Linked DNA regions of Oryctolagus cuniculus. The protein of the gene in region 1 interacts with the protein of each later gene in a biochemical or structural test. Links are inferred from orthologs where the notes say so. Each region holds a gene or a part of one and is shown in the gene's direction. Other genes may lie near its edges. The genes, in order: CEBPA, PARP1, TRIB1, CDK2 and SMARCA4.

Evidence for each region.
Region 2: the proteins of CEBPA (region 1) and PARP1 form a complex in vitro, tested with the Homo sapiens proteins (2 studies listed by BioGRID, with this or other methods). The link is inferred for Oryctolagus cuniculus from reciprocal best matches to the Homo sapiens genes CEBPA and PARP1.
Region 3: the proteins of CEBPA (region 1) and TRIB1 form a complex in vitro, tested with the Homo sapiens proteins (2 studies listed by BioGRID and IntAct, with this or other methods). The link is inferred for Oryctolagus cuniculus from reciprocal best matches to the Homo sapiens genes CEBPA and TRIB1.
Region 4: the proteins of CEBPA (region 1) and CDK2 form a complex in vitro, tested with the Homo sapiens proteins (2 studies listed by BioGRID, with this or other methods). The link is inferred for Oryctolagus cuniculus from reciprocal best matches to the Homo sapiens genes CEBPA and CDK2.
Region 5: the proteins of CEBPA (region 1) and SMARCA4 form a complex in vitro, tested with the Homo sapiens proteins (2 studies listed by BioGRID, with this or other methods). The link is inferred for Oryctolagus cuniculus from reciprocal best matches to the Homo sapiens genes CEBPA and SMARCA4.

Annotation. Positions count from the first base shown.
Region 1 is NC_091449.1:21,471,961-21,477,651, reverse strand, and holds CEBPA (CCAAT/enhancer-binding protein alpha), read left to right. Parts: upstream 1-2,082; 5' UTR 2,083-2,223; coding exon 2,224-3,300; 3' UTR 3,301-4,639; downstream 4,640-5,691. UniProt on the Homo sapiens protein: Transcription factor that coordinates proliferation arrest and the differentiation of myeloid progenitors, adipocytes, hepatocytes, and cells of the lung and the placenta.
Region 2 is NC_091444.1:39,041,572-39,046,794, forward strand, and holds part of PARP1 (poly [ADP-ribose] polymerase 1), read left to right. Parts: intron 1-1,489; coding exon 1,490-1,606; intron 1,607-2,321; coding exon 2,322-2,498; intron 2,499-4,701; coding exon 4,702-4,849; intron 4,850-5,223. UniProt on the Homo sapiens protein: Poly-ADP-ribosyltransferase that mediates poly-ADP-ribosylation of proteins and plays a key role in DNA repair.
Region 3 is NC_091437.1:151,042,529-151,048,444, forward strand, and holds the start of TRIB1 (tribbles homolog 1), read left to right. Parts: upstream 1-2,620; 5' UTR 2,621-3,364; coding exon 3,365-3,733; intron 3,734-5,579; coding exon 5,580-5,872; intron 5,873-5,916. UniProt on the Homo sapiens protein: Adapter protein involved in protein degradation by interacting with COP1 ubiquitin ligase. The COP1-binding motif is masked by autoinhibitory interactions with the protein kinase domain.
Region 4 is NC_091442.1:58,759,461-58,764,875, forward strand, and holds the end of CDK2 (cyclin-dependent kinase 2), read left to right. Parts: intron 1-464; coding exon 465-635; intron 636-1,355; coding exon 1,356-1,457; intron 1,458-2,012; coding exon 2,013-2,156; intron 2,157-2,454; coding exon 2,455-2,658; intron 2,659-2,880; coding exon 2,881-2,985; 3' UTR 2,986-4,079; downstream 4,080-5,415. Other genes in the region: RAB5B (ras-related protein Rab-5B), read left to right, coding at 5,217-5,341. UniProt on the Homo sapiens protein: Serine/threonine-protein kinase involved in the control of the cell cycle; essential for meiosis, but dispensable for mitosis. Phosphorylates CABLES1, CTNNB1, CDK2AP2, ERCC6, NBN, USP37, p53/TP53, NPM1, CDK7, RB1, BRCA2, MYC, NPAT, EZH2.
Region 5 is NC_091447.1:66,603,324-66,608,546, reverse strand, and holds part of SMARCA4 (transcription activator BRG1), read left to right. Parts: intron 1-1,209; coding exon 1,210-1,373; intron 1,374-3,292; coding exon 3,293-3,520; intron 3,521-3,786; coding exon 3,787-3,885; intron 3,886-4,114; coding exon 4,115-4,192; intron 4,193-4,797; coding exon 4,798-5,016; intron 5,017-5,223. UniProt on the Homo sapiens protein: ATPase involved in transcriptional activation and repression of select genes by chromatin remodeling (alteration of DNA-nucleosome topology).

The DNA of each region.
Region 1 (5,691 bases):
TGCTCCCTCCTCTCTGGACACCTTATGCAGAGCAGGCGGCCTGAGAGCCCCGCGCACCACCTCTGTCACCCCCACACCCTCCTGCGTCCCTTCTCGGAGGAGGTATTTGCCCCCTGCTTCTGTTTCCTCCAACCCAAAGAGAAGCAGCCCGGCTCCGGAAGCTCTGGGCGTGAGGCTGGGGTCTCCCCGGCTCCCGCATCTGTGCGGGAACAGGACCCTATCCGGAGCCCTTTCTTTGTTCCTGTGCTAGGGAAACAGAGAAAATGACAATCCCTGTGGGTGTTTCTGGGTGTCCCTCCGGGTCTCCCAGCACAGGTGCACCGTGCATTCACGGGTCTCGCACAGGCCGGGAAAGGGCTCTGCAGCCCGCATCAGGTGACTGGCTTACGGTATCTGCTTTTACCCTCCCAGTCCAAGAACGCAAAGCTAAAAATATCTTGTTTATGAGCTCCGGTCCGAACACGGAGCAGGCGGGCCGTTCATCATTGGGGATCTGTTGAATAAGACCTTGATTAAAGCGCGGAATGCGCTCCCCAGACGGGATCGCTTCTTGGCTGCGGACCACAGTGGAAGCCTGGGCCTCCCCGGCCGCGTTTCCCGCGGTGCCTCCTTGGACGCTCCCAGGCGGACCGTGGCGGGCGCCTGGCCAGGCTGAGCGCGGCCGGGGCGCTGGGGTCTTGCCCTGCGCAGCCCGGCGAGGCACCCACAGGGCGTCCGGCCTCCACGCAAGAAGTCACGAGAGAAGGCGTGGGTGGAGGCGGGAGGCACTCACTGGCGGGCCCACGAGGCCCCTGGCTGCTGCGCTCCGCAGCTGCGATCCGCGTTACGGAAGGCGCCGGACGCCACGTGGCGGGGGAGCCTCTGCCGAAACCTCCTCCCCACCCGCGGCAGTGAGCGCGGAGGCGGCGCTGCGCCCCAGAGGCCCCGGGCCTGACCGCCTCGGCGCCTACGATCCCAGCTGGCGGAGCTCTCCGGGGCAGTGCGTGCTCGCACCCGGAGGCCTCCGCTCCTACGACATCCCCGCCCCCGCCTGGACGCTCACCTGAACGGGGAGTGCGGGATGGGGAGGGGAAGGAGGGAAAGAAGTGGCTGTGGGGCTCGTGGGCTGCGAGTCCCCTTCGCGGTCTTGGTCCTGGACCTGGAGTCAAGTTCACCTTCTCCCTCCGCGGCTACCCCCGGCCCCGCGCTCGCGCAGTGGCCAGCTCGGCTCGTCCAGGGAGCACTCGCGCTCCGCCCGCAGGCCAACACTTGGCAGCTCCGCGCCAGGTAGCTGCGCCAGCCCGCGCGCCTAGCAACCCTGCGCTCCGGCCTGGAGAAGTTATTAAAAAGAAAGTTTTCTAGCCTGGGCGAATCGACCGGTTGGGTCCACCAGGCTCCCGGGCCGCGGCGCCGCGGCGCCTCTGCTCCCCCGCGGGGTCCTAGCGCCCTGCTCGCCACGCCCGTGGGAGCCTGCAGTAGTAGGGGCGTCAGGGTTGGGGATAGAGGTGCTGCTACACGGAATCAGTGGGGGTCACCTGGAGATGGGACACGAATGACCTCGGGACCCCGCGCCCCGGGCCTTGGCGCACAGAGATGTGAGCAGTGCGGAGCGTCCGAATCAGTCCGCAGCGTCCGAATCAGTCCGCGGCCGGCCCCCTGCCCTGCCCCTCAGCGCCACGGATTCCCAGGGACCCGGGTCCGGCACCACAGGCGAGGCTCTAGTTTCCAATGCAAGCGTGAGCTGCGACCGCGCAAGTCCAAAACTCCCCCTTTCCACCGAGCCCCCCGCGCGGCCTCTGGTGGATGCTCCCGGGCCCCCGATCGGCCCTGGGCTGGAAGCCGCCGGTGCCTTGGGGAGACCAGAGGAGGAGGTTCCGCTACCGACCACGTGTGCACGGGGACGCCAGCCGCTGGCTCGCGGCGCAGAAAGCAGCGGGCGCCGCGCCACCGCCTCTGTCTTTGGGCGTCGCGCTCGGGCTCGGCTCACCGCCCCCTTCCGCAAGGCCGGCGCTAAGACCCGGAGGCGCCGCCCGTCGCGACGGCCGTCCGAGGCCGGCTTGGACAGTAGGGGGCGACGGCCGCCCCGGTATAAATGCGCGGCCGGCGCAGGCCTGGCCATTCGCGACCCGGAGCAGCGCGGGCGCGGGCGAGCAGGGACTCCGGGCGGGCGGGCGGCGGCAGCGGCGCCCCGCGCAGGCTGGAGGCCGCCGAGGCTCGCCATGCCGGGAGAACTCTAGCTCCCCCATGGAGTCGGCCGACTTCTACGAGGCGGAGCCGCGGCCCCTGATGAGCAGTCACCTCCAGAGCCCCCCGCACGCGCCCAGCAGCGCCGCCTTCGGCTTTCCCCGGGGCGCGGGCCCCACGCAGCCCCCAGCCCCACCTGCCGCCCCGGAGCCCCTGGGCGGCATCTGCGAACACGAGACGTCCATCGACATCAGCGCCTACATCGACCCGGCCGCCTTCAACGACGAGTTCCTGGCCGACCTGTTCCAGCACAGCCGGCAGCAGGAGAAGGCCAAGGCGGCCGCGGCCGCGGCCGCGGCCCCGGCGGGCGGCGGCGGCGACTTTGACTACCCGGGCGCCCCCGTGGGCCCCGGCGGCGCCGTCATGCCCGGGGGCGCGCACGGCCCGCCCGCCGGCTACGGCTGCGCGGCGGCCGGCTACCTGGACGGCAGACTGGAGCCTCTGTACGAGCGCGTCGGGGCGCCGACGCTGCGGCCGCTGGTGATCAAGCAGGAGCCCCGGGAGGAGGACGAAGCGAAGCAGCTGGCGCTGGCCGGCCTCTTCCCCTACCAACCGCCGCCGCCGCCGCCGCCGGCGCACCCGCACCCGCCCCCCGCGCACCTGGCCGCCCCGCACCTGCAGTTCCAGATCGCGCACTGCGGCCAGACCACCATGCACCTGCAGCCCGGCCACCCCACGCCACCGCCTACGCCCGTGCCCAGCCCACACCCGGCCCCCGCGCTCGGCGCTGCGGGCCTGCCGGGTCCAGGCGGCGCGCTCAAGGGGCTGGCGGCTGGGCACCCCGATCCCCGCGCGGGCGGCGGCAGCGGCTCGGGTAAGGCCAAGAAGTCGGTGGACAAGAACAGCAACGAGTACCGGGTGCGGCGGGAACGCAACAACATCGCGGTGCGCAAGAGCCGCGACAAGGCCAAGCAGCGCAACGTGGAGACGCAGCAGAAGGTGCTGGAGCTGACCAGTGACAATGACCGCCTGCGCAAGCGGGTGGAACAGCTGAGCCGCGAACTGGACACCCTGCGGGGCATCTTCCGCCAGCTTCCGGAGAGCTCCTTGGTCAAGGCCATGGGCAACTGCGCGTGAGGCGCGCGCGGAGGCGGGACTGCCCTGGGCCGGCTCTTGGCTGGGGGCTTGGGGTGCACCTGGGGAGTGATTTCGGGTCCCCAGGTCTCCAGGCCGCCGCCCTCCCCTCACCGGGCCGTGCAAGCCAGGACTAGGAGATTCCGGTGCCGACCAAAAGCCCGGCCCGCTGGACGCCTCCCCCTCCCTCCGCGCCGGACTTGGTGCGTGTTGAGACGAGGGGACCCGGCAGTGGTTTCTTCCCGCGGGAGAGGAAGAGTTCTCCGGGGGCTGAGCTGGAGCCCGGCAAACTCCGGTATTCAGGAGTAACCGTGTGCCTTGGAAATGCAAACTCGCTGCTCCAGTTCCTACCGAGTAGGGGGAGCAAATACGTGCCTTGTCATTTTACTTGGAGGGTTTCTGCCGCCCCTGGGACAGCAGCGGCCCCCGTGAGAGGGGGCAGGCCCGGGACGGGAGGAGTGTACAGGGAGCAACCAGTCCTAGCCAGACCTCAGCGTCGGCCCTCAGAGGGGAGCAAACATGGGGACTTGGGGCTCTGAGCCTAAGGTGGTTCCCCTAGTTATAATGAAGTTGAAGGGTCCCTAGTTCCTCACCTACCCCTCCCATAGCCTGCAGCAGGCTTGGCTTCCCGGAGCAGCGCTTACTGAGACGGGGGTCATCAGGTTTCAAGGAGCCCCTCCAACCCCATTCAGACCACCCAGCCAGGACGGGTGTTGGAGGGAGTGGTGGCTTGGCGGAAGAACCTGGAGATCTGGTAGTGGGGTGCGGTGCGGGGTGCAGGGACCGGGGGCCCAGCCTTGTCTGTACCGTGCGGACATGAAGTGCAGTCAGCCCATCCCAGAGGGACCCGGGCCATGACAAACTTTCCAAATATTCTGCTTTATCAGCCGATATCTTGTATCTAGCCTCTCTCCGTCCCGGCGCTGCCTTGTGCAGTGTCCGTGTGCACGTCTACGCTCCACCACCATTGTATTTGGTTTTTGTTTTGGTTTGGTTTTGCTCAGATACTTGCCAAAATGAGACTCTTGGTTGGCCGCTGGGGGAAGGCTCTGAGGTCCTCTTTCCTTCTGGTTTGGGGGTTGCTTTTGCTCCCGGGGACCAATGAGGTGAGGTGGGCGTCCCCTCCCCCCTTCCCCGGGTTCTCCCTGGCTGCAGCTGTGAGCCCCAGCCCTGAGGCCCGGGGCTCCTGGTCTGGAAGGGCAGTGGCCTCTGGCCAGGGCGTGCACGTCGCTGGGGCCGGCAGCACAGCAGGAAGACTTGGTTCTCTTCCTCTGGGGAGAACATGAGTTTCATGCTAGAAGTTTTATGTATTATGTCTATAATATAAACGTATCAAAGTCAATCTTGGTGTCTCTTTAAAAGCAGGAGGAAGCTGCCTGCAAGCTTTGCTTCGGGCCAGGTCACATTGGCAAATACTCACAGCGCTGTCCCTGGCCGGTGCCCTGGCTTCCATTAGTACCCCGTCCATCCTGAACCCCTATTTCCCTTAGGAGGGTGACTGACTTCCCCCAACCCAGACAAATAAACAGGCTCCAAGCTGAGAATGCCCAGAGCCAAAGACAGTCTCCTGGGGTGGGAGTGGGAGGCTTGTGGGGGGGTGGGGGTGGGGGGTACAGGGCAGAGGCCTCACCGTGGCCCCTCATTTGCCCCTGGGAGAAGAAAAGGGACTCTGGGAGCCCTCTTCCCTGGGTGCAGGCCCAGCCAGCAGCTCCAGGCTCCAGGGGCCCTCTGGGGATGCTCATTTCCAAATCACTCCCAGTACTCAGAGCAGCCCTGCTCTCACTCAGCGTTGCCCCAGGCTCCCCGCAGAGCGAGGGGCTGGCTGAAAGAAGCCTTGTCTGGTAGGACCCTCCTCCGCTCCCCCTGGACCAAGTGCCTGGACCCTCCAACTGTCTCCGGACCACGAGACTGCAACCTGTCCCCACGATGCCGAAAAGGGCACCCGGAAAGCTGAGCTCCTGCCATCCAGCCCAGCCCCCTTTGCTGGGCCCCAGGCTCTTAGGTAGGCATAGCGGGGCAGGGACACAGCATGCCTGCAGGGGTGTCCAGCATCCAGTCTCCCTGTCACCCCACAAGCAAGAGGCTGAGTCCTGGTGAGCATCTCACTCCGAGCACAAGCCACCAGCACCACCTTGTAGCAGTGGCAGCAGACGAAGAGGGGCAGCCCCTGGTACCTGAGTTAACAGGGCTCAGGAGGCTGGCAGGGGCTTTAAGGTGTTGTTTTCTTGGAGGGGAGAAGGAAAAACACTTTTTAGCTCATCTTCCCGTGAGAGTGTTCACATGATTGGATTGTACAATACCAGTAGCACGGCACTTCAAAAAGTCTGTGGGAAAATGGGATTAAAAAGATAAATTTGTTTTGGTGCAACAAATATTTTGAAATCCATGCATACT
Region 2 (5,223 bases), on another chromosome or scaffold:
TATGAGTACTCAGGTTTTGCTTGTGGTATGAAAATTAGCACGTGATTCTTACAAAAGAATCACAGATTTGTGTTATGGGGAATAAAAATGTCCGCTCTGCATCACATCTGGCTGCAGTAGAGCCACAGCCCATAGTGCATTTGCCCTTCAGTCCCTGTGCTCTCTCCCTGATGTTGTCAGAGATGGAAAGAAAGAAACTCAAAGTGCTTCCCCACGCTTGCACCTCTGTTTCTGCTGGCTCATCTGGTGTTGGAGGTTCAGGAGTTATTCCACTTGCATTTGACCTTGTACCCAGGACTTCCTTGAAGTGCAGGGTGTCCCACCATGTGCTGAGGGAGGAGGAGGAGGGCAGGGGAGATTGTTGAGTCCCTAACAGTGGAGCTGGGAAACAGGCGCAAATGTGAGTGACTGCAGCTTTGAGTCAGTGTTCATTTGGTGCTGATGGTGAGTCTGTGGGTATCATAGGGTTGGCATTTTCGTCTCCATTTTTTCACATGGAGGGAATCTGAGGCCAAGAGGGTGAGTCCTACAGAGAGAGGAGACCCCCTGGCCTCCACTCTAAGATGGGGAGGCCCATGCTCTTCCCAGCCAGGCACTTGTGAGAGTAAGTGAGGTGACCTGTCAAAGTACACAACAAAGAGCAGGCCCTTCATAGACATTAAAAACTTAAAAGTCCTTTTTCAGGAGAACTTAAATGTGTCCCTGCATGGTACTGAATTGATACACTATTAAGAAATTAGTGTTCGGAATCATTCCTACTGTCAAATTGGTAGAGGGGCAGACATTTGGTAAAGCAGTTAAGACACCACCTGGGCTACCCACATGCCATATTGGAGTGCCTGGGTTCTAGCCCTGGCTCTGCTCCCAGTTCCAGCTTCCTGCTAATGTGCACCCTGGGAGGCAGCAGGTTAGGCTCACATACTTGGGTTCCTTCCAGCCATGTGAGAGACCCAGATGGAGTCTTATTTTGGTGTGACCCAGTCCCAGCTGGTGGTAGCATTTGGGAAATAAACCAGCTAATGGAGGCTCTCTGTAGATATCCTTTGTGTGTGTCTGTCTATCTGTCTCTGCCTTTCAAATAAGAAAAGATTGACAGAGAACAGGCACACCCTACCTCCTTTGGCCTCTGGCTATTGGTGGTCGACACATGTGGGCCATTTAGCACTTACAGGCCCCTGTGTGTCTTGTGGGCTTGGTTTCTGAGGGATGCATTCCAGGGGCTTTGGTGACTTTGTTACGTCCTTCCCCACACTTGTTAATGGTTTCTTCCCCACCTTGCACAACTCTTTGAGAGCCCATGCTTCATATTCAATTTGAGACCTGCTGGAGCATGGCAAGGACTTAAAATCTACTGCTCAGACCGTCTTTTCGGGAGAGTCAGTTCAGCTAATCCTCTGGTGTGTGCTTGAGGCCAGGCATGTCCAGGGGTATACTCTTCCTTCAGTTGAAAAGAGAGGCCTCTCACTCAGCTGCTGGGTCTTGTCCCTAGGCCCAGAACGACCTGATCTGGAACATCAAGGATGAACTAAAGAAAGTATGTTCGACCAATGACCTGAAAGAGCTGCTCATCTTCAACAAGCAGCAAGTGCCTTCCGGGGAGTCGGCGGTGAGCGGCCTTAGTGTTAGAGCGGGACACGCCTGTGAGGCCGACTGTCCTAATGGAATATGCGAGGCCCTCCGTTTGAACACCTACTGGTATTAGCTGCGAGGAGTAAAACCTCGGTGGTCATGTTGTACAGTCATCACTGCCATTGTGGTCACCATTTCCCCAGGGGCAGTTGGGACAGGCCCTACCAGACATTTCTCATGTTGACACTTGCTGTGGAATTCTGCTGGGGGCTAGAGTGGGCCATGTTTGCCTTGAATGGTCATACCACATACTTTGGCCTGAGTAGCACTCTCAGCTGCCTTCTGCCCAAACTCCCTGGGGCTGCAAGGCTTGTGGAGGGAAAGAGACCCTTCTGCAAGGTGGTATGCCAGGGTCCCAGCATTTCCCCAGCTGCTTCTTCCCTGCCCTCCTCCTCTGGAGTTGAGGTTGCCTTGGTACCTTGTGCAGGACCAGGGCATGCTCTGGGCTCTCCCTGTATTTCCCAATCTGAGGGATGGGGAAGGTGAAGGAACACTTCACTTAGAGATGGGTCTCTGAAAACCCAAGAACCCAAGCCCCCTAGCAAACCAGCTGCCCAGGGGGCAAGTTCAAGAGCCCCAGGCAAGCCTCTGTTGCAGTGAAGGAGGTCTGTGCAAGTTCTCCATGCCACATTGCACAGCGTCTTCTCTGGAGTGCCTCCTTTCCCCTCTGACCATTTCATTGCTGGCTTCAGATCTTGGACCGGGTAGCTGATGGCATGGTGTTCGGTGCCCTCCTTCCCTGCGAGGAGTGCTCGGGCCAGCTGGTCTTCAAGAGCGATGCTTACTACTGTACCGGGGACGTCACTGCCTGGACCAAGTGTATGGTCAAGACACAGACACCCAACCGGAAGGAATGGGTGACCCCAAAGGTAAGGGGTCTGTTGCAGGGAGGGATGGTTCTGGGATCTGTTGGTGGGGCTTGTCACCAAGACTGCAGTGGCAGACTTTGTCACAACTGGGCCATTCTCATGATCAGAACATAAAATTTTATGGGTTCCATATGTTTGCAGACTGTACAAATATGGAAACAAAGCGTCTCTGAAGTGTGGAGTCAAGGTTTGTCCAATTGCTTGTGAGGACCATGAATTACTTGATTTATTGGGGCCCATTGTGCGCTGTTACTGTGAGGGACATATGGTGAACAGATAGTAGTAATTCCTGCTTTTATGACAAGCATTTCCTTGCCTTAGTGCCGGAGGGAGAGTTAGGTCCAGAGTTCATGTATCACTAGGTACTGAGTGCCCTCTATACGAGGGACCACAAGTGGAATTTAGTGGGCGCAGACCCCTCAGTTGGAGAGTTGGTGGCTGGATAAGCTCCTGCCCTGTGCCCTCAGGCCGGCAGGAGCTGGGGCAAGGTCCCGGTTCTCCCTTTGCTCGCTGCACCTGCTGTGTTCCCATGCGGGGAGGACATTTGAGCCAGTCCCCTCGGCACTTGGGTGTCCATGCTAGAGCAGGTCTGAGCTTGTCACCTCCCTTCCTTCAGCATCTTACAGACCCATTGTGTGGTGTTTACTATCTCTCAAGGAGCAAATCAGATGACAGTTAGCAGCGTGGACTGTTTATAGTCCATGTGCCCACAGTAGCGCATCTGAGAGTGTGTGCGGGTGCATGACACCTCTGCAGTCTGGTGGCACTTGCTGCCTGTGTGGATTCACGGGCCCAGACCCAGGCGGTGATTGTTGCCCCCAGCTTGTGTCCCTGTGGTGACAGAACCAGGATCTCTCCATGATCTGACTCTGGGCCTTCTGCAGCCTCTCCTGCCGCCGCCTTTTCCTCCCTTATCGCTCTCCCCGCCGTACTCCTTGGCTCTTTACACTCCCAGCCATGGACAGCTCCCTAGGGTTCCCCGTAGGCCATCTAGGTTCCTGTAGTAAGCAGACACTTGCCTGCTTTTCCAGCTCCTAATAGACTCAGCAGGTCACTGGCCTGTGAGTGCCCTCCCAGCATTCCCACTTTCCTGTCACCTTAGCTCACCTCCAGTTTAGAACTTGGCTCCAAGTTTAGAACTTGGCTTACCATCGTATATCTGACGTGGTCGAGACTGAGCCTCCTCAAGGGCAGAAACCGTCTTCTGAACCTGCCTGTGATGTGTGGCAGTATTAGGTGGTCAGTGTATGTTGGAGGCTCTTTGTTAGCCTTTAATCCAACTGGCATTCATTGACTGTGGCATCGTCGGAAAGGCCTGTGTATTGATTGGATGAAGTCTTAGCATAGGAACTGTGGTCTTTCCCAGAGCTTTGTGCATTTGACTTTTATTGAGTGACCATCTAGAATAAGTCCCTTTGTAAATCTCCTGGGACAGAGAGTGAACTGTGCCATTTGCTGTTGAGGGATTTTGTTGTAAGTTCAGTAAAAAAAGGAAAAGAGTTACTCTGACTTAGAGGTAATGATGTGTGTGGTCCTGGGGCCCTTCTGGTCGTAGATTGGGCACCTGAGGCCCCAGGAAGGCCTGTTCATTCTTGAGAATGATTCAAGGATGGGGTGGGGGCAGCAGTTAAGTCACTGCTTGAGACCCTTCATCCCATGTCAGTGCCTGGGTTTGAGTTTCCTGCCTGCCTGTGCACACTCTAGGAAACAGTAGGTAAGGCCTCAAGTGGCTGGGTCCATACATCTGGTGGAAGCCCAACACAGAGTTCCCAGTTCCTGCCTGTGGCCTGGCCTAGCTCCAGCTGTTGCGGACAGTTGGGGAACAAACCACCGAATAAGAGACTCGCCTCCCTCTCGTGGAAAAAATAAATGAGTGGGGCCGGGGAGGTGGTTATAGGCTCCAGCAGTGGTTCCCTGGCCAGATCATCAACTGTCATTTTGTTTTTCATTTTCTTAAAGGAAAAGACTCTTCTTTTAACATAGCTGCAGTGCCAATTTGATCATAAAATGGAAATACTGGCCATAAGTACCATGGTGGCAGAACTGCCATCCTTCATCCTAGAAGCCTCCCATTTTCCTATTCTACATTCTTTATTAGAAAAAGAGATCTTTGAATTTGCACCAGCCAGATCTCTTTTGGCCTGTTAGGTGGTCGTTTATAGAGGGAACTAGTTTCTTAAAAACTAAAACTTAAATTCTTCAGGAATTCCGGGAAATCTCTTACCTCAAGAAATTGAAGATCAAAAAGCAGGACCGCATATTCCCCCCAGAGAGCAGCGCCCCGGCAGCAGCGGCACCCCCTCCCTCCACAGCCTCGGCCCCCGCTTCTGTGACTCCCTCCGCTCCAGCAGGTACACCTCCAGGGGCTGGGCGCCCCGACCTCTGAGCCCTGATTCTACAGTGACCTGAGAGCAGCCGCCTGGGGTCTCTGCCTGTCCTCTGGGAAGCCCCACCTGCCTGGGTTAGGGCTCTTCCCTTGCCCTGACGCATCTGGAGGGCGGAACCCAGGGAGCAGGCATTAAGGACAAATGCTTTCTTACTCTGGAAGCTAGGCAGGGCTTCTTAGGACAGACCAGCCAGCAGCCTAACCTGGAGTGGCATTCAGGATGTCCTGCCTGACCACACAGAGCCTCCTTGCAGGGCTCCTGCTTTCCCGAGGCTCAACCGCTCTGCCCCCACCAGGTGTGCCTGGTGAGACGCTTGGGTCTGTGTTATGTGCAGGGCC
Region 3 (5,916 bases), on another chromosome or scaffold:
TAAAAAGGTACCGGGAGAGCAGAAGCAGAACATGGAACCGGGGGGCGCCTGGAGATTAGAAAGTTGCTGCCACCTGCGGGCTGGAGGGGCAATGGTGGTGTCACCTGATCCTAGGAGGCCCAGGGACGGGCTGGGACCATGAAGAGGGGGCGCGAGGACTCTCAGGAGATCAGCGGGAGGCTTACGGGGGGCTTGCCCTGAAGGGAAGAGAGACAAAGCAGGACTGGGGGGAGGTGGAGCTGGGTGCCCTTCAGAGGGGGCCCAAGTCGCTGCAAAAGGACCCAACCTTTATTCTGCCATCAACAGCAGCGGATGTGGGCCCTATGGGGAGGCAGCATGACCTTGGGCAAGGTGGCTCCGAGTCAAGGCCATTTCCGGAGGGCTCCTGATGCGCGTGTCCAGAGCCGGCAGGAGAAGTCCTTTGGTCCTGAGAGGGCACGTGGGCAGCGCACCGCAGCCGCCGCCCAGAGCGACTGGATCCACACAGGAGCGGCAGCCAGCTGCCCCACGCGAAGAGTGAGACAAAGCGGCCTGGCCACACTCGCTCTCCCACCTGCCAAGCTCCCTCCAGCGCCCTGCACCCGGCAACTTGGGCTGGAAGCCAGTGGGCAAGAGGGCCTGGGAAACAGAGCTTTCGAGGGTCAACCCCTGGGGGCTGTGCAGGGGAGGCAGGGAGGGGATGGCCCTGGGGGCAAACAGGTCTGGTGGACCCAGTGACCACTGTCGGAGAGGGGGAAAAGCAGACCCCAGGGAGAAGTCTGGCCCTGGGGGGTGGGCGGGGGCTTGGTGAATGGTAGGGGTGCCATTCCCAGAGAAGAGGAAGACAAGGTACACACCTTGGAGGAAGATGCCCCTGGACCACACCAACTACGCCATGCAGCTGGCAGCTCAGTGCCTCTTAAGTTCCTGCACAAAATAACCCTGAAAGACCAAGAGCATAGGTGGGCTCCCTCCTGGCCACAGAACGAAGCGTGCTGCTGGAGCCCTCCCTTCGACCTCTCAGACGGCCTGGGCTGGCTCAGCTCCCCACCACCCTTGCAGCCAACCCGGCTCTTCCCTACACCCCTGCCTGGGCTGGCCACCAGCACTGTTCACAGCCACCCGGACCTGAGCAACGCTCACACAGTCCCACTGGACCCCAGCTCAAGGGTCTTCTGAGTCCTCCCTAATGCCTCTTTTCCCCTACAAATTGCCATCTCTCTGTTGGGTCCCCAATGATGTTAAGTGCTCAATTGCTCCACCACTGGTGAGCTATTTCCCCATCTTTCTGGGTCTCAGTGTTTTCCTCCGTGACGTGGACTAGAGGAGGTGGTGGTGGTCCCACAGGTTCCACGCTAGGCACAGGGACTCCCACCCTGGAGGCCGCATCTAATTCGAGCTGTTATTGCTGCTTTAATTTTCATCTATTAATCCCCAGCGCCTAGCCCTTAGTAGACGCTTAGTGTTTGTTGAATGCACGGAGAATTAATAAGGAAATGGATGTATTCCTAGGGCTCTACCTGGTTTTAGAAAGTTAACGATTTAGCAGAAGTTCAAGGTCGCCTGCCTTGGGCGTTCAGGGGCTCCAAACTGACCAGGTTCCGATTCCGAGCTGTTTTCACGGAGCTCGGCGCAGGGTCTGGCGCACACTTTGCGCTCACCCTAAGCACTCTGCAGCGTCCGCGGGGCCGTGGCCGCAATGACTGCCCCGCCTCCTCCACACCACCTACCCCGATGCCCAGGCTGGCACCCGCGCCCCAGACTCCGCGGCGCGTGCGGAGGCCCGGGGAGGGGCAGGGATCCGGCGGCCGCGGCCACGTGGGCCCCTTCCGCCCGCTCCCACATCCTTTGTTTCCCACCCGCCCGGCTCAGGAAGCTCTTTCTGCGAGTCACCGCGAAGGGGCGGCCCGGGAGCCTGGAGAAGCTATTTCCGTGCAACCCGGGCGGCGAGGAGGTGGAGGCGGCGCAGAAGGCCCCGTGTTTGCTTTCGTTTCGTCCAACAGAAGGTTCTATTTGTGGAAGCGAACAGACGCTGGGGATTAGAGCTGGGAGGAGGCAGGAAAAGGGAGGGGGGAGCCACATCCACTACCACGCACAGGTCTTCCCCGGAACTACCGCGTGGGGGTGAATGACTGTCTCTGGAACTCATCACCCTCCCCAGGCTCCCTCCGCACCCCCACCCCTCTCCTCTGGCTGCAGCCTGGCCGCCCACGGCTCCAACCGGAGCTCCCCAGGTGCTGGGCTGCGGGGGGATCCCCGGGGCCAAAGGCGTAACCGCGGGACCGCAGCGAGCGGCGGGTGCAGAGAACCGCGCCGCGCGTGCCCGCGGCCCATTGTGCTCGCTGTGAATGAGGCGCGCGCACCAATCAGCGGCCGCTTCGCCCCCCGAGGCCCCGCCCTCCCGCCCACTTCCCCGAGACCCTGACGTCACGGGAACTTTTCCTCCGCCCCCTCCTTCGGCCGCTCGCGCGGAGCCGGGGGCCTGCAAGGAGGGCGCGCGCCGCCTCCTGCCCTGCCCAGCCCGGGGGCCGAGTGCGCGCGCTCCGGGCGGCCCGGGACGCACCACCTGCGCCCGAGCGCGCGCCGCTCCGAGCATCCCAGGCCCGCGGGCCACCCCCCGCCCCCCAGCCTCCTGCCCCTCCCCCCCAGTCTCCTCCCTCCGCTCCGGGGACTGCTCGCCGGGTGGCGGAGCCGGAGTCGTCGCGGCCACCTCATTGCACAACCCGGCTCCCCAACTGTTTACACAGGCCGGCCTGTGAGTGTGTGTGTGTATACAGCGTGAGTCACCGGGAGGCGGAGGAGGTGGAGGAAAAGGAGAAGGAGGAGTGCGCTGGCCGGGATCGGCGCGGCGCACACACTCACTCACACTCAGTCACTCTCTCCGAGCGCGTCGCGCCCGCTCGCACACGCCCGCAGTCCAGGAGCGCGCGCAGGACCCCCGGGCGCCGCGGAAAAGTTGCTCCGGCTTTGATTGCTCCGGGACGTGCATTGGCTCCGCGGCTCTGCGCAGCCCGCGGAATCCTGTGCTCGTGGCCCGGGACCCCGGGAACGCAGGCCGCCGCCGCCTCTGGGACGGTCGGCAGCCTCGGCAACAATAGCGGCGGCCGCCCCCTGCGAGGGGGCCCCAAGTCGGCGGCCGCGGGGGTCCGAGGACCTGAGCCGGCCTCCGCCCCCCGGCCGCTGAGCCAGCGTGGTCTCCGCGTGTGCACCCGACAGCGCCGAGCAGCCACTCCCGCTGTGGCCCCTGTGGGGGCCGAGCCAAGCCCGCTCTGCAAACTCCATCCCGCGGGCTGGAAGAAGTCGCGGCGCCCTCGCCGAGCCCGCAGCGCCTTCCTGCGCGGATCCGGGGACTTACAAAGCCGGGACCGCCCCGGCCGGGGACGGGATGCGGGCCGGTCCCGTGCGCTCTTCCATGAGCGGCGCCTCGCAACCCCGGGGCCCGGCCCTGCTGCTCCCGGCCGCTCGGGGCACCCCGACCAAACGGCTGCTGGATGCGGACGACGCGGCGGCGGCGGTGGCGGCGGCGGCCAAGTGCCCGCGACTCTCCGAGTGCCCAAGCCCCCCGGACTACCTCAGCCCCCCCGGCTCGCCGTGCAGCCCGCAGCCCCTGCCCGCCGCGCCGGGAGCCGGCGGCAGCTCCGGGAGCGCGCCGGGGCCCAGCCGCATCGCGGACTACCTGCTACTGCCCCTAGCCGAGCGCGAGCATGTGTCCCGGGCGCTGTGCATCCACACCGGCCGCGAGCTGCGCTGCAAGGTAGGCGCCCCGGGGAGCACCCGGCGGGGGGATCGGGGGCGCGGGACGCGGTGCCCGACGTCCCTCCGACGCGGGGGGCTTGGGGGCAGGGCGGGTTGGTGCGGGGAGCCCGACCAGGCGGCCATTGACCGAGTTCACCCTTTTGGAGAGAGGTGTAAAGGGGGGATTCGCAGGCAAGCGGAAGTGCAGGGTTCAATTGCTTTATAGTCCTTGCTTGGCGCTGAGTTTAGCGCGTGGCGTTCCCATATAAGTTGTGGAATTGCAATGGATTCCAGGGCCATGCCATTCCCCTTCTCTCATTCTCCTCGCCGCCCCGCCCGCCCGCCCTTGCCCTGGAAGGACGCCCCGCAGTGGGTGCCTGCTCGGAGCCGGGAGCAGCCGGCCGCCCCCTCGCCGGGGCTCCGCTGCGGCTGGGAAGACCTGGGCCGGCCCGTGCCCTGGGGATTCCGACGGGAGCCCGCGCTGGCACGCGAACACCGCCCTGCCCAGGGCCGGTCCGGGGCGGGGGGTCTTCCAGCCGCGGCGGGGGGAATTTGCCCGGAGTCGGAAAGTGGGGAACCCCCCCCCCCCGCCCGCTAGGCGTCCTCGCTTCCATTCACTTTATTTTCCGGTCAGCGGTTTGCATTTGCACCGCAGGGAGGAGGAGGTGGCACTGGGACAGGCAGAACCCGCCGGGTCCGCGGCCGTCCCCGCCCCTGGAGGCTGGCACTGCGGTCGCAGGCTCCCCTTGAGGAGCCGCCTTCCGCCCACCCGGGCTGGGCGCCCCCAAGTTAAACTTGCTCTTGGATTTTCTGTAACTCACCTGACGCCCCTCTGCCCCCGCCCCCCAACCTTCCTCCAGGGCTTGCTGCTGCCACCTACCGTCCTACCCTTATGAAATTGCAAATGTACAACCAAGCCCAGGTTTTTAAGCGGGGAGAAACCTTTTTCGGTGACTGGGGCTGAGAGCTGTTCTGGGGAAAGCGGGTGTGTGTGTGTGTGCTGTGGGGTGGGATAGGAGGCGGAGAGGCAGCAGCAGGAGGCAGCCAGGCCTCAGAGGTGGGGTGGGTCTGGTCGTTGTGCAACCCCTTCCAGTTCCTCCAAGCAGATAATAGCTGAATCCAGATGGTGACAGCCCGTGTGTCACCGTTTCCAGTTGAGTCTAGGATATGAGTAACCGGACTAAACAGAGGGCCCTTAAAGAGACCTGCCAGCTTCTTAGGGGAGATGCTGCCGGTTCCTGGAGCGGGGTGGGTGGGAGGGGGCCTAAACAAACAATGGAACAAAGAAAAACCATTGGGACGGTCCAGTACCCCACCTGTGGGAACTGGCTGCACCTGAGTCACACGGCAGGCGGGTCGCTTAGTGCTGCCCGGTCACAGGCTGTCCAGCCAAGTCATTTGTTCCTTCTGACAGCTCTGTGGCCCCCGCTTCCCCTGGGAGGCTGCGGAGTCACGGGCCGGTGCCTTCTCTGGGCTGAACCCTTTGCCTTTGCAGGAGACACATGCACTTCCTGCAGGCCCTTGCCCGCGTGCTCTGCAAACCGGGAAGGGCCCCAGTGGGTGGGAGCTCTGGGGGCTTAGCTCTCAGGGTCCCTGGAGAAGACTGACAGGCGGGCACAGAAGACTGTTCTTTGAAACCGCTCATGGGGGGGGGGGTAGCTCTCTGGATGCTTGCTAGCCTTAGATGTCACTGGCTGTGAGGGTACTAGGGGTCCCTGGGGCAGCATCAGAGATAAGGAAGCCACATGCATAGAGCTTCCCCAAAGCCCAGAGATGGAGCACTTCAGTCCGGCTCCCTGGGGGATCTGGGAGCTAGCCTCCGCCTTTCTCAGCCCCCTAAGCACCCCGCCCCATTCTCTCCGCAGGTGTTTCCCATTAAACACTACCAGGACAAAATCAGGCCTTACATCCAGCTGCCGTCACACAGGAACATCACCGGCATCGTGGAAGTGATCCTTGGGGAGACCAAGGCCTACGTCTTCTTTGAGAAGGACTTCGGGGACATGCACTCCTACGTGCGAAGCCGGAAGAGGCTGCGGGAAGAGGAGGCCGCCAGGCTCTTCAAGCAGATCGTCTCTGCTGTCGCCCACTGCCACCAGTCGGCCATCGTGCTAGGGGACCTGAAGCTTAGGAAGTTCGTCTTCTCCACGGAGGAGAGGTGAGCAGCCGCCACAGCGCCTCCTCCTGTGGCCTATTGGAACC
Region 4 (5,415 bases), on another chromosome or scaffold:
CAGAGCTGGGCCAATCTGAAGCCAGGAACCAGGAGCCGGGAGCTTCTTCCTGGTCTCCCATGTGGTTGCAGGGGCCCAAGGACTTGGGCCATCTTCTACTGCTTTCCCAGGCCATAGCAGAGTGCTGGATCGGAAGTGGTGCAGCTGGGACTCAAACTGGCATTCATACAGGATGCTGGCACTGCTGCAGCAGCTTTACCTGCTACGCCACAGCGCTGGCCCCCAACTAGTGTTTCTTGAATGCATGTGTATTAAACCTTCAACCTGTAGCTACAGGGCATGAAAGAGATACAAATCTGCTTAAGACCTGGTCCTGATCTTCCTGGGACTGGGAGTCCTACCAGCAAAAATAGCTTGTAACTACAAAATAACATAGTAAAGACTTTAGTGGAGCTCTGTGGGCAAAGAGCAAACTGATGTGCTTGTTGTGATTGAACAACAATCCCCTCTCTTCCCCCTGTCAGAGCTATCTGTTCCAGCTGCTCCAAGGCCTAGCGTTCTGCCATTCTCATCGGGTCCTGCACCGAGATCTAAAACCTCAGAATCTACTTATCAATGCAGAGGGCTCCATCAAGTTAGCCGACTTTGGACTAGCCAGAGCCTTTGGAGTGCCTGTTCGTACTTACACCCACGAGGTGAGTCCACAAACCCCTCCACCCCCCGCCTTGCTTTTCTTCTCTGAGCTCCCCAGGAGGGGTTAACAAGGGCATTCACAAAGTTACTAGAAATATTTGGCCAACAGTTTCTCTTACTATATGAAAAGAATCTCTGAGACCCTAAGGGGTCTTAGGGTATGCACACAGTTCCTTCTGTGGTGCTAACTGGGATTTTTCTTTTTAAAGGTTAATTCTACTTATTTGAAAGGTGGAGAGACAGAGAAAGAGAGATCTTGCACCTCTTGGTTCACTCCCCAAATGGACACAACAGCCAGAGCTGGGTCAGGCTCCTGCGTGGGTGGGCCATCATTCACTGCTTTTCTAGGCACATTAACAGACAGCTGGATCAGAAGTGGAGCAGCTAAGACTTGAACCAGCACTCCCATGTGAGATGCAGTTGTCGCTGGCAATGGGCTTTTCCTAAGCCAGGACAGCTGGATGGGACACCACTAAAATTAGGACCATTTGTCGCAAGTTTTCCAGGAAAGTCCCAGCTTGGAGGTTCAGAAGATATGGCCCCTATGTGGACTAGGCTAACTCTGAGCTAAGAAGTTGTGTGTAATCGCTTCTCACAGGGAGATCAGAGGAGGGGGAGGATGGAGGAGAGAAACATCTTGTTTTAAGGCTAAGAGTTAGCAGAGTGGAGCTGAGAGGTGAGGGCCCTGGAAGCCAGCTCTCATTCCTCTTCTTGTCTCCCAGGTGGTGACCCTGTGGTACCGAGCCCCTGAGATCCTCCTGGGCTGCAAATACTACTCCACAGCCGTGGACATCTGGAGCCTGGGCTGCATCTTTGCCGAGATGGTACGGAGGCTTGTCCCAAGTTCCACCCAGCCCGTTCCTCCCCACGTCTAAGAACAACAGGACTGTTTCTTGGCCTGGGCCCGTGGCCCTTCTTTCAAAGGGTTCTCTCCAGCAGCATCAAGGCGGGTGTGGGGAAAGGATAGGACGTGGCCCCCGAGCAGGCTTAGTGTCCCTCTTCACCCTGAAATGGGTAAATCATTTGTGCAGCTGTTTTACTGTTGGTCTGCGTATATTAGAGGGAATGCCTTCCAGGGAGCCGCTCCTTCATTTGGCCGGTAGACTTCATTTGCCAGGAATGGAGTAAGCCAACCGGGATCCCTTTACCCACACCCTTCACACAATCTGCAGGCTTCAATCACGTCCCCTCCCCCCTATCTCCCCATAACGGAACCGTGGAGTAGGCCGAATCTTCCAATCCAGCAGCAATAAGTTTTATGGTCCTTTACGTGGGTTGCCACTGGGGACTAGGAGACAATAGCCTATACATCGTCCCCAGTGCATTACCTTGCAGTTGCCCATATTCTGCTCTCAATTCATTAAAAAATATCTGTTAAGCACCTAGTGTGTGCCCAGCACCATGCTGGGTGCTGTGGGGAACACAGAAGAAATGGAAGACACAGTCTCTGCCCGCTGTGCTCCTATCTAGAAGTGGCCGCATCCCAAGGAGGGGGGATGACCGCAGTGTCTACCCCACATCCCGTGAGTGGCTTGGGATCCCTTTGCTACGTGTCAGCGGCACCCCAGACATTCAGCCCCTCCCAGCCCCACCCAGCCTTGGGGGTCTGTAAAGCCATGGATGGGGGAAGGAAGGAGGGGTGAGGAGCCAGATGAAGGGACTTCATTGTCTCAGGCTGTGTGTGACTGACCCCATGGCAGGCCCTGGGGAGGGAGTCATGGGGCCCTGCTGACCTTCCACTGCCTGTGGGAACCTCTTCTGTGCGGGGGACAGCTGTGACTGACGTCAGTGTGGGTCTTTGCCTCCCCTCCCCCTTTTCAGGTGACCCGCCGGGCCCTGTTCCCTGGTGATTCTGAGATTGACCAGCTCTTCCGGATCTTCCGGACTCTGGGGACCCCAGATGAGGTGGTTTGGCCAGGAGTTACTTCAATGCCCGATTACAAGCCGAGTTTCCCCAAGTGGGCCCGGCAGGATTTTAGCAAAGTCGTGCCTCCCCTGGATGAAGATGGACGGAGCTTGTTATCGGTGAGAGTGGGCATCTGTTTCCCCTTGCTCGTGCCCTGTCCGCGGGAAGGGCTTGCCTACGATGGAGGAAGATGAGCCCCTGACCCGGGGGTCTCCGCCTTTGCACTTCTCTCCCCGTCGGCTGGCTCAGAGAGGGGAGGGGGGCAGTGAGAACTCTGTCTTGGGAACCAGGAGTCCTGGTTTCCTGATTTCACTGAAGTCCGCATCCGTCTCTCCCTCCAGCAAATGTTGCACTATGACCCCAACAAGCGGATTTCGGCAAAGGCAGCTCTGGCTCACCCCTTCTTCCAGGATGTGACCAAGCCAGTACCCCATCTCCGACTCTGACATCGTGGCCCAAGTTCCTCGCCCCCCCCCCCCCGCCCCGGGTGTCACCCACTCCTCCCAGTATGGGCTTGATCCGGCGTGGCCCTCCCCGCTGTTTGGGCGCAGGTGGAGGCCCTCTGATCCTGTCCGGCAACTGTGACACTCCCCTGCCCCTGCTGGCCTGCCGACGCTGGGCACAGAAGGGTTGAGGGAGGAATGGGTGAGAATGAGAGGAAGTTGCAGTGTTCCGTGCACTTACGTCAGTGTCCACCACCCGCTCCCCTCCTCATAGTCCTTGCTGAGAAGGGCTCGTCTTGGAAAATACCAGAGCTGACTGTTCTCTCCCAGACTCTGAATGCCCCATAATTATTATCCCATGTGTTTGGGCCCCCAAGCCTCCTGTGGCCACTAGTTTTGTAAAGGTCAACTACTAACAGGGTTGGCTAAGCTGGAACTTTGGAGAAAGGAGCAGGAAGAACACCACAGGGAGGAAGTGTTCTTAAAGAATTCAGTTAAAACCACTCGTGGGTTGCTGTTTCACCTCACCTGACAAGTGGGCAGACCCAAGACTAGGCCCCGGGGGGGCCTGCAGGAGAAATGGCAGCCCCTAGCCCCTCTGTCTGCCCCGGCTGTGGGCCAGAGGACTTGAAGGCTCTTAACACAGGCACTGTGCCTCCCTCCCATCCATTCTCCACGGCCTTAGAGGCAGGTGAGAGAGTTTGGATTTTTCTCTGCCCTCGGGATTCTTAGTTGTTCAGCTACCATGGATCCCTGCTCCTGTCTTTTCTGAGGGCCACCCCTGCCCCCTAGGAGAGGAAGTTAGGGTTTAGACATCCTTTTGAGAATGCTGACACTTCCAGGGATGACATTGGGAAAATATATTTCTTTAAAAGAAGGATGAACAATTATATTTATATTTCAGGTTATGGTTTTTAAACAGGAGCGGGTGGATTTTTTGCCATGTGCACCTTGGGGTTTTGTAATGGAAATGTTAAAAATGTTTTCCTTTTTTTATCATTCTGGCTCTTTTTCTTCCACCTCTTGAACTTGAGTGCCCTTACTATTAACGTTATTTGTAATTTAGTTTGTAATTCATTAAAAAAAAAAAGTTCCTAGTTTTGTAGTTATTTTGTTCCTCCTATTATTCACGGGAAGAATGGTGTGAGAGAGACCAGGCAGGCGAAATTGTGGTGACTGGTTTTAGGCCTCTCTAGGCAGGGATACCCTCTCACTCTGTTTTGGTCTCTAAGATGCACTTGGAATTGGGATAGGACCCAGGGTGAGTAACGTGGGTATTAGACCCATTTTACAGCCAGGGAAGCTGAGGCCCTGTCATTTCCTCCTTCACTTTCCCCACACAGCAAGTCCTACCTCCCCCCACCCCACCACCCCCACACACACAGCGACCATTCCAGAATCTGCAGTAGGGTTGGAAGTAGGTTCCAGAAGAATCCATCCACCTGTACACCGCCTTTCCCAGTAAGCCGCGTTGATTTTCCTTTCTGTTGCTTATCACACACGGCAGAGTTTCTGAAGATTATCTTATTCACATTTACATACAATTCAAAAAATACCCACTGAGTATAGAAAATTACTACCACGGCGTCTCCAGCTACTGCTTTTTGTAGTTGCCATTGTCTCCATCAAAAAAACATCTCAGATCGCCCGCAGGCCACGCCGAAAACGCACGTCCTCTGAACCCTCGCTAAAAGGAAGAGCGCTGAGGCGCGTCTCTCAAATTCCCAGGCGCCGGGTCCCCTCAGAGGTATTTCCCTTTACGCCCGCGAATTTGTCATAGAGGGCGGGGCCCCGAGTCAGCCCCCGCCAAATCCAGGGGGAGGAGCGAAGGTCAGTAACGGCCTCCCTCAGGCTTCCTTCAACCCCGCCTTGCCTGCCAGTCAAGTCCCGAATTTCCGCAGCACTGGCTAAAGTCTCACTTGGACCCGCCTCCATCACTCACCTGATTAGATGTTTATGAGTCAAAAGGCGGGGGTCATGGGGTGTCGAGGTTTTATTGGCTGGTACGCACGTCTATCAACGACGTACCGCCCCCTGTCTCCGGGAGCTCGCTCTTTAACGGCCCATCACCTCGTCCGTCTTCCAGGTTTCTCTCCCTGTATTGGCTTATGACCCTGCCTGTCCAGTCCCTTGCTCGTACTCGTTGGCGACAACACCCCAAGAGTCCCGCCTTTCTCCAGAGGATTGGCGGATGAGTGCACATACAGCCCACCCTCGATGGTAGGCGGGTAATCATGCTATTGGCTGGGGCCCCCGCCCCAGGGCGAGGAGGAGGAGGAGGGGCAGGAGGTTTGGTTGAGTTGCAGCTGTTTGTCTGTTCGACACAGGCTTGGGCCCGACGGGGGAGACGGAGCCCCAGGTACCGAGCTGATGGAGCCCACAAGGGCAGAGGCAGAGGCGCCGGGAGATGAGAGCGGCCTGGCCTGAGAGCGC
Region 5 (5,223 bases), on another chromosome or scaffold:
CGCTCCGGGAGGCTGAGGGCTCAGCCTGCACCTGGAGTGCCTGGGGGTCGTGGCCACAGGCACTGAAGGTCTGTTCAAAGAGCCAGGGAGGTGGGGGGAGCTCGGTGATTGTGGGGCGAGTGGGAGGGGCTGGGGAGGGGTGGGCCTGCAGGCCAGGATGGCATTGCTCTTCCTCTCAGCATTGCAGCCCCTCCCGTAGGGGCCCTCACTGGCTCCTCTGCCTGCGCTGCCCTCCTCGCCCTGGGACGAGAGTCCCCTGTAAGGCTCCTGGGATCCTGGCTCTGCGGCCTGTGAGATCGTTCGGTCTGGCCCTGCCAGGGCCACCGCAGGCAGGACTTGAAATTCAGCACATTCACGCAGGCTGACTTTCCAGCTGCTCATTTTGTGTGGCCCGCGAGTGATGTGTGTGCAAATGGCCCTCGCACTGAAATGGCTCCCCAGTCCTGCTCAAAAGGCTTCTCTCCGTGATGTGGTGGAATCTGCCAGCCCCTGGCCTGCAGTGCAGTCCTCTGTCACTGTCTGCCCGCCCCAGGGGCCCTCCTGTGTCTTGGGGGACAGTGGTGTTGGCACCTAAGCTGGTGCCACAGGAGGTATCAGGCCGATGGCGGCCGTGGCCTGTGCTGCAGCCCTTCCTTTAGTTCTCTGTGTTACATGGTGTCAGCCAGGGCCTGGGGGAAGGAGGTGGGCACCCGCTGGTGGCCACATGGAGAGGGCGTAGCTGGGGCTGTGTGTCTCTCCTGCCCTGGGGGAAGGAGGTGGGCACCCACTGGTGGCCCACAGAGAGGGCGTAGCCGGGGCTGTGTCTCTCTCCTGCCCTGGGGGAAGGAGGTGGGCACCCACTGGTGGCCCACAGGGCGTAGCCGGGGCTGTGTGTCTCTCCTGCCCTGGGGGAAGGAGGTGGGCACCTGCTGGTGGCCCACACAGAGAGGGCGTAGCCGGGGCTGTGTGTCTCTCCTGCCCTGGGGGAAGGAGGGGGGCACCCACTGGTGGCCCACAGAAAGGGCATAGCCGGGGCTGTGTGTCTCTCCCTGCCCTGGGGTAAGGAGGTGGGCACCCGCTGGTGGCCACACGGAGAGGGCGTCGCCAGGGCTGTGTGTCTCTCCTGCCCTGGGGGAAGGAGGTGGGCACTCGCTGGTGGCCCACACAGAGCGGGTGTAGCCGGGGCTGTGTGTCTCTCCTGCCTGCTGAGCTGTGGTCCTGTGCCGGCAGGAACCACCAAGGCGGAGGACCGGGGCATGCTGCTGAAGACCTTCAATGAGCCCGGCTCCGAGTACTTCATCTTCCTGCTCAGCACCCGCGCCGGGGGCCTGGGGCTCAACCTGCAGTCGGCGGACACTGTGATCATCTTCGACAGCGACTGGAACCCCCACCAGGTGCGGGCGCGGGGCCGGGGGCAGGGAACAGCGTCCACGTCCACGTCGCCACCTGTGGGCTGCCCTGGCGCCCAGGGTGTCCTCTGTGAGAGCCGCCGCACACTTCCTGAAGGCGGCCGCTATCCTCTAGAGCCCCCTTTTGCCTCGAAGAGGCAAGTGGTGTGTGCCCTTGTAATCCTAAAAATGTCTGGGGCTGCGTCACTGAGACAGAAGTGGGCTCGCTCTGAGAGTGCACCCGCGAGCTGTGCTCCCCGCCTGCTCGTCTCCTTCACCATGTCCCTGGCCTTGGGTCCGCAGAGCCAGCACCGCCTGTTTATAAGGAGGGGCCGTCTTGCCCCGGATTCCACTGTAACACGTTTTACTCAACATGGGAGCGCGAGGGGAAGGGCACTGCTGGCCTTGCTCAGCCGTCCTGCACTCTCTGAGCCTCTGCCCGTGCCTGACTGCACGCGCAGAGGTGCCGCCCGCCACCCCGGCGCCTCGCGTCCTGGCCCCTGGCAGCCCCTGATGGAGCACACAGGGCTCTCCCAGCCGGTCAGTGCCGGCTCCCCTCACGCCCATTGCCTGGCTGTCCCCAGCCGGTCAGTGCCGGCTCCGCTCACGCCCATTGATGGCTGTCCCCAGCCGGTCAGTGCCGGCTCCGCTCACGCCCGTTGATGGCTGTCCCCAGCTGGTCAGTGCCGGCTCCGCTCACGCCAATTGCCTGGCTCTGGTTCTCTTTCTCGGCGTGACCACCAGGCCTGGCTCCCTCGCTGGAGCCCAGCGCACTCAGTGCCCAGGCCCAGGGAGGGCGTTGCTGTGCCTGCGGCATCGTCTACACATCCTGGTTGTTTGTGCCACGCCCACTGACAGGCGAGAGTGTGCACTTCCCACCCGTCGCCTGGCAGCCCCGGCCTCATGGTCAGATGGATGCCTGCGAGCAGGGGACTGGGCTGTGCCTCCCTGCCGCAGGCGTGGACCCTGTGGAGCCTGCCACCACTGTCGGGCACAGAGGCCCCCGCAGGCCAGGGTCATGGCCGTCCCCACCAGCTGCTGCCCCGGTCCATAGCCTGGCCCAGAGGCGGGACTGTGAGAGAGCCTGCTCACTGAACTTCAGATAGTGATGGACGTGTCTCCGTCACGGCTGCCCCTCCACGGGGGCTGGCCCACCAACCACTGTGCTGGGCAGAAACCCCTTCACTCGGGTCACCGGCACAGTGTCTGCCTGAGGGGCCTCCATCTGCACTGTGTTCTGAGTCTCAGAAAGCTTGGGCGGGGCTGGCGCCACGGCTCACCTGGTTAATCCTCCACCTGTGGCGCCAGCATCCCAAATGGGCTCTGGTTCTAGTCCCAGTCCCCCTCTTCCAGTCCAGCTCTCTGCTGTGGCCACTGCTGTGTGCAGTGGAGAATGGCCCAAGTGCTTGGACCCTGCACCCGCATGGGAGACCAGGAGAAGCACCTGGCTCCCGGCTTGGTGCAGCGCTGGCCATGGTGGCCATTTAGGGGGTGAACCAGCAGAAGGAAGACCTTTCTCTGTCTCTCTCTCACTGTCTATAACTCTGCCTGTCCAAAAAAAGAAAGCCTGGGCTCGGAGCCGGCTTGCACAGTAAGGAGGCGGCAGGGCCCACACCAAGCCAGGCCCCACTAGGGTGCTGTGTGGCACTGCCCTGTCCTGGTGCGTGGCCACGCTGAGGACTTGTGTGCCTGAGGACACAACTCGGTGTGTCCCCTGGAATGGCACCAGCCGGGAAGGGTGAACGTGACAGTTGTGGAAGAACTCGGGCCTCTCGCCCCCCAGGACGGCGGGCAGGCTGCCTTCCATTGTGAGCCCCCAGCTCACGCAGCCGCTGCTCAGGGGTGGGGCTTGGGCCAGGCGGGGGCAGCCCCCGGAACGCGAAGGCCCCGCTGTGCATCCGACTGATGGGCGCCCGCTCCCGCAGGACCTGCAAGCGCAGGACCGGGCGCACCGCATCGGGCAGCAGAACGAGGTGCGCGTGCTGCGCCTCTGCACGGTGAACAGCGTGGAGGAGAAGATCCTGGCCGCGGCCAAGTACAAGCTCAACGTGGACCAGAAGGTGATCCAGGCCGGCATGTTTGACCAGAAGTCCTCGAGCCACGAGCGCCGCGCCTTCCTGCAGGCCATCCTGGAGCACGAGGAGCAGGACGAGGTGAGCCCCACGCCCCCCTCCCCGCGTGAGTGTGGACGCGTGAGCGGCTCGCAGTTTCGTTTTTCCACCTTTTTTGCATTTTTTATTTTTTTTTTATTTTTTTATTTTTTTATTTTTTTGCATCCCTTTGGAGTAAAGGGAGTGTGGGCTGAACGGAAAGAGGATGAGTACTTGCTTTTTCTTTGAAGTGGTTTTTTTTTCTGAACTGCTGGTGACAGACGCCGGACTGGCAGCCCTGGAGACTGAAGTCCTCTATTTATCCACAGAGCAGACACTGCAGCACGGGCAGCGGCAGTGCCAGCTTCGCCCACACTGCCCCTCCGCCAGCGGGCGTCAACCCCGACTTGGAGGAGCCACCTCTAAAGGTGAGAGGGGTAGTTCAGTCTCCACGCCCATTCAATCCTCGGCTCGCCGGCGGAGAGGCCAGCAAGGGCCCTGACCCCACGGAGCGTGCGTGTGCGTGTGCGTGTGTGCCTCTCGCTGCCGCGTGGGTCCCCATCCACCGCAGCCACTCTAGGACCTCCAGCTCGTCGCCCACGGATGCCGCCCAGCCCGGCCCCTCCACACCCAGACTAAAGGTTTGCCGTCTTGTAGGAAGAAGACGAGGTGCCCGACGACGAGACAGTCAACCAGATGATCGCCCGGCACGAGGAGGAGTTCGACCTGTTCATGGTGAGTGCCCCGCGGGGCTGGTGACAGGCGCAGCCTGCAGGCCTAGTGACGGGGCCTCTGGCGGGGTGGCCCACGCGTTGGTGCCTGGACTCGTAGGCCACAGGGACAGGGAGGCACATGCTCTCCTGTGTTCATGGAGCCCCTTGGCTCCACCAAGTGCCCATCCCCCAGAGCCCACCCGCTGGCAGCACCCAGGGCCTCTGCTCTAGGTTAGCACCGCCCGCGGTCCAGGGCTGCAGGACCTGGGCTCAGAACCACCCCGGCCCTGGCGACGGCTCGCAGCTGGAGCAGGCCTCTCGGCCCCCGCGGCTTGTGCCGTCCCCAACCCGTCCTGCCCCGCCCCTGCGGCCTTCCCACCTTCTCCAGCGTCTTTGTGCCCAAGGCAGAGCCCCAAGCCAGGGTCTGTCAGAGCCATCAGGCCGGGCCAGCCACCACCAGACCTGAGCTGCTGCTTAACTTAGCCCATGGCAGCCGTGGCCTTGAGGGCAGGGAAGTGGCCCCCGTGAGCCTCCAGTGCCCCCCACTGCCCAGTGAGCGCACCCTGGAATGTGGCCAGGGCTCCCGTGCTGACGCCACCCTGTCTGCCCCGCCGCCCGGCTCTGCAGCGCATGGACCTGGACCGCAGGCGGGAGGAAGCCCGCAACCCCAAGCGGAAGCCGCGGCTCATGGAGGAGGACGAGCTGCCGTCCTGGATCATCAAGGACGACGCCGAGGTGGAGCGGCTGACCTGCGAGGAGGAGGAGGAGAAGATGTTCGGCCGCGGCTCCCGCCACCGCAAGGAGGTGGACTACAGCGACTCTCTCACCGAGAAGCAGTGGCTCAAGGTACATGCTGGAGAGGGCTGCAGCCCGCGCCGCTCGGCCGGGCTGCACAGAGCTGGGCCCGGCTGCCCAGGTGCGTGCCTCAGCCCCAGACCTGAGAGGTTCCTTCCGCCGATCTTGGCCGTGCTGCGTGATGGCCTTTGAGGCCTCTGGTGTGGGCCAGGGATGCTCGGGTCCTCCACCTCCCTGCTGATGTGGGAAGACCCCTGC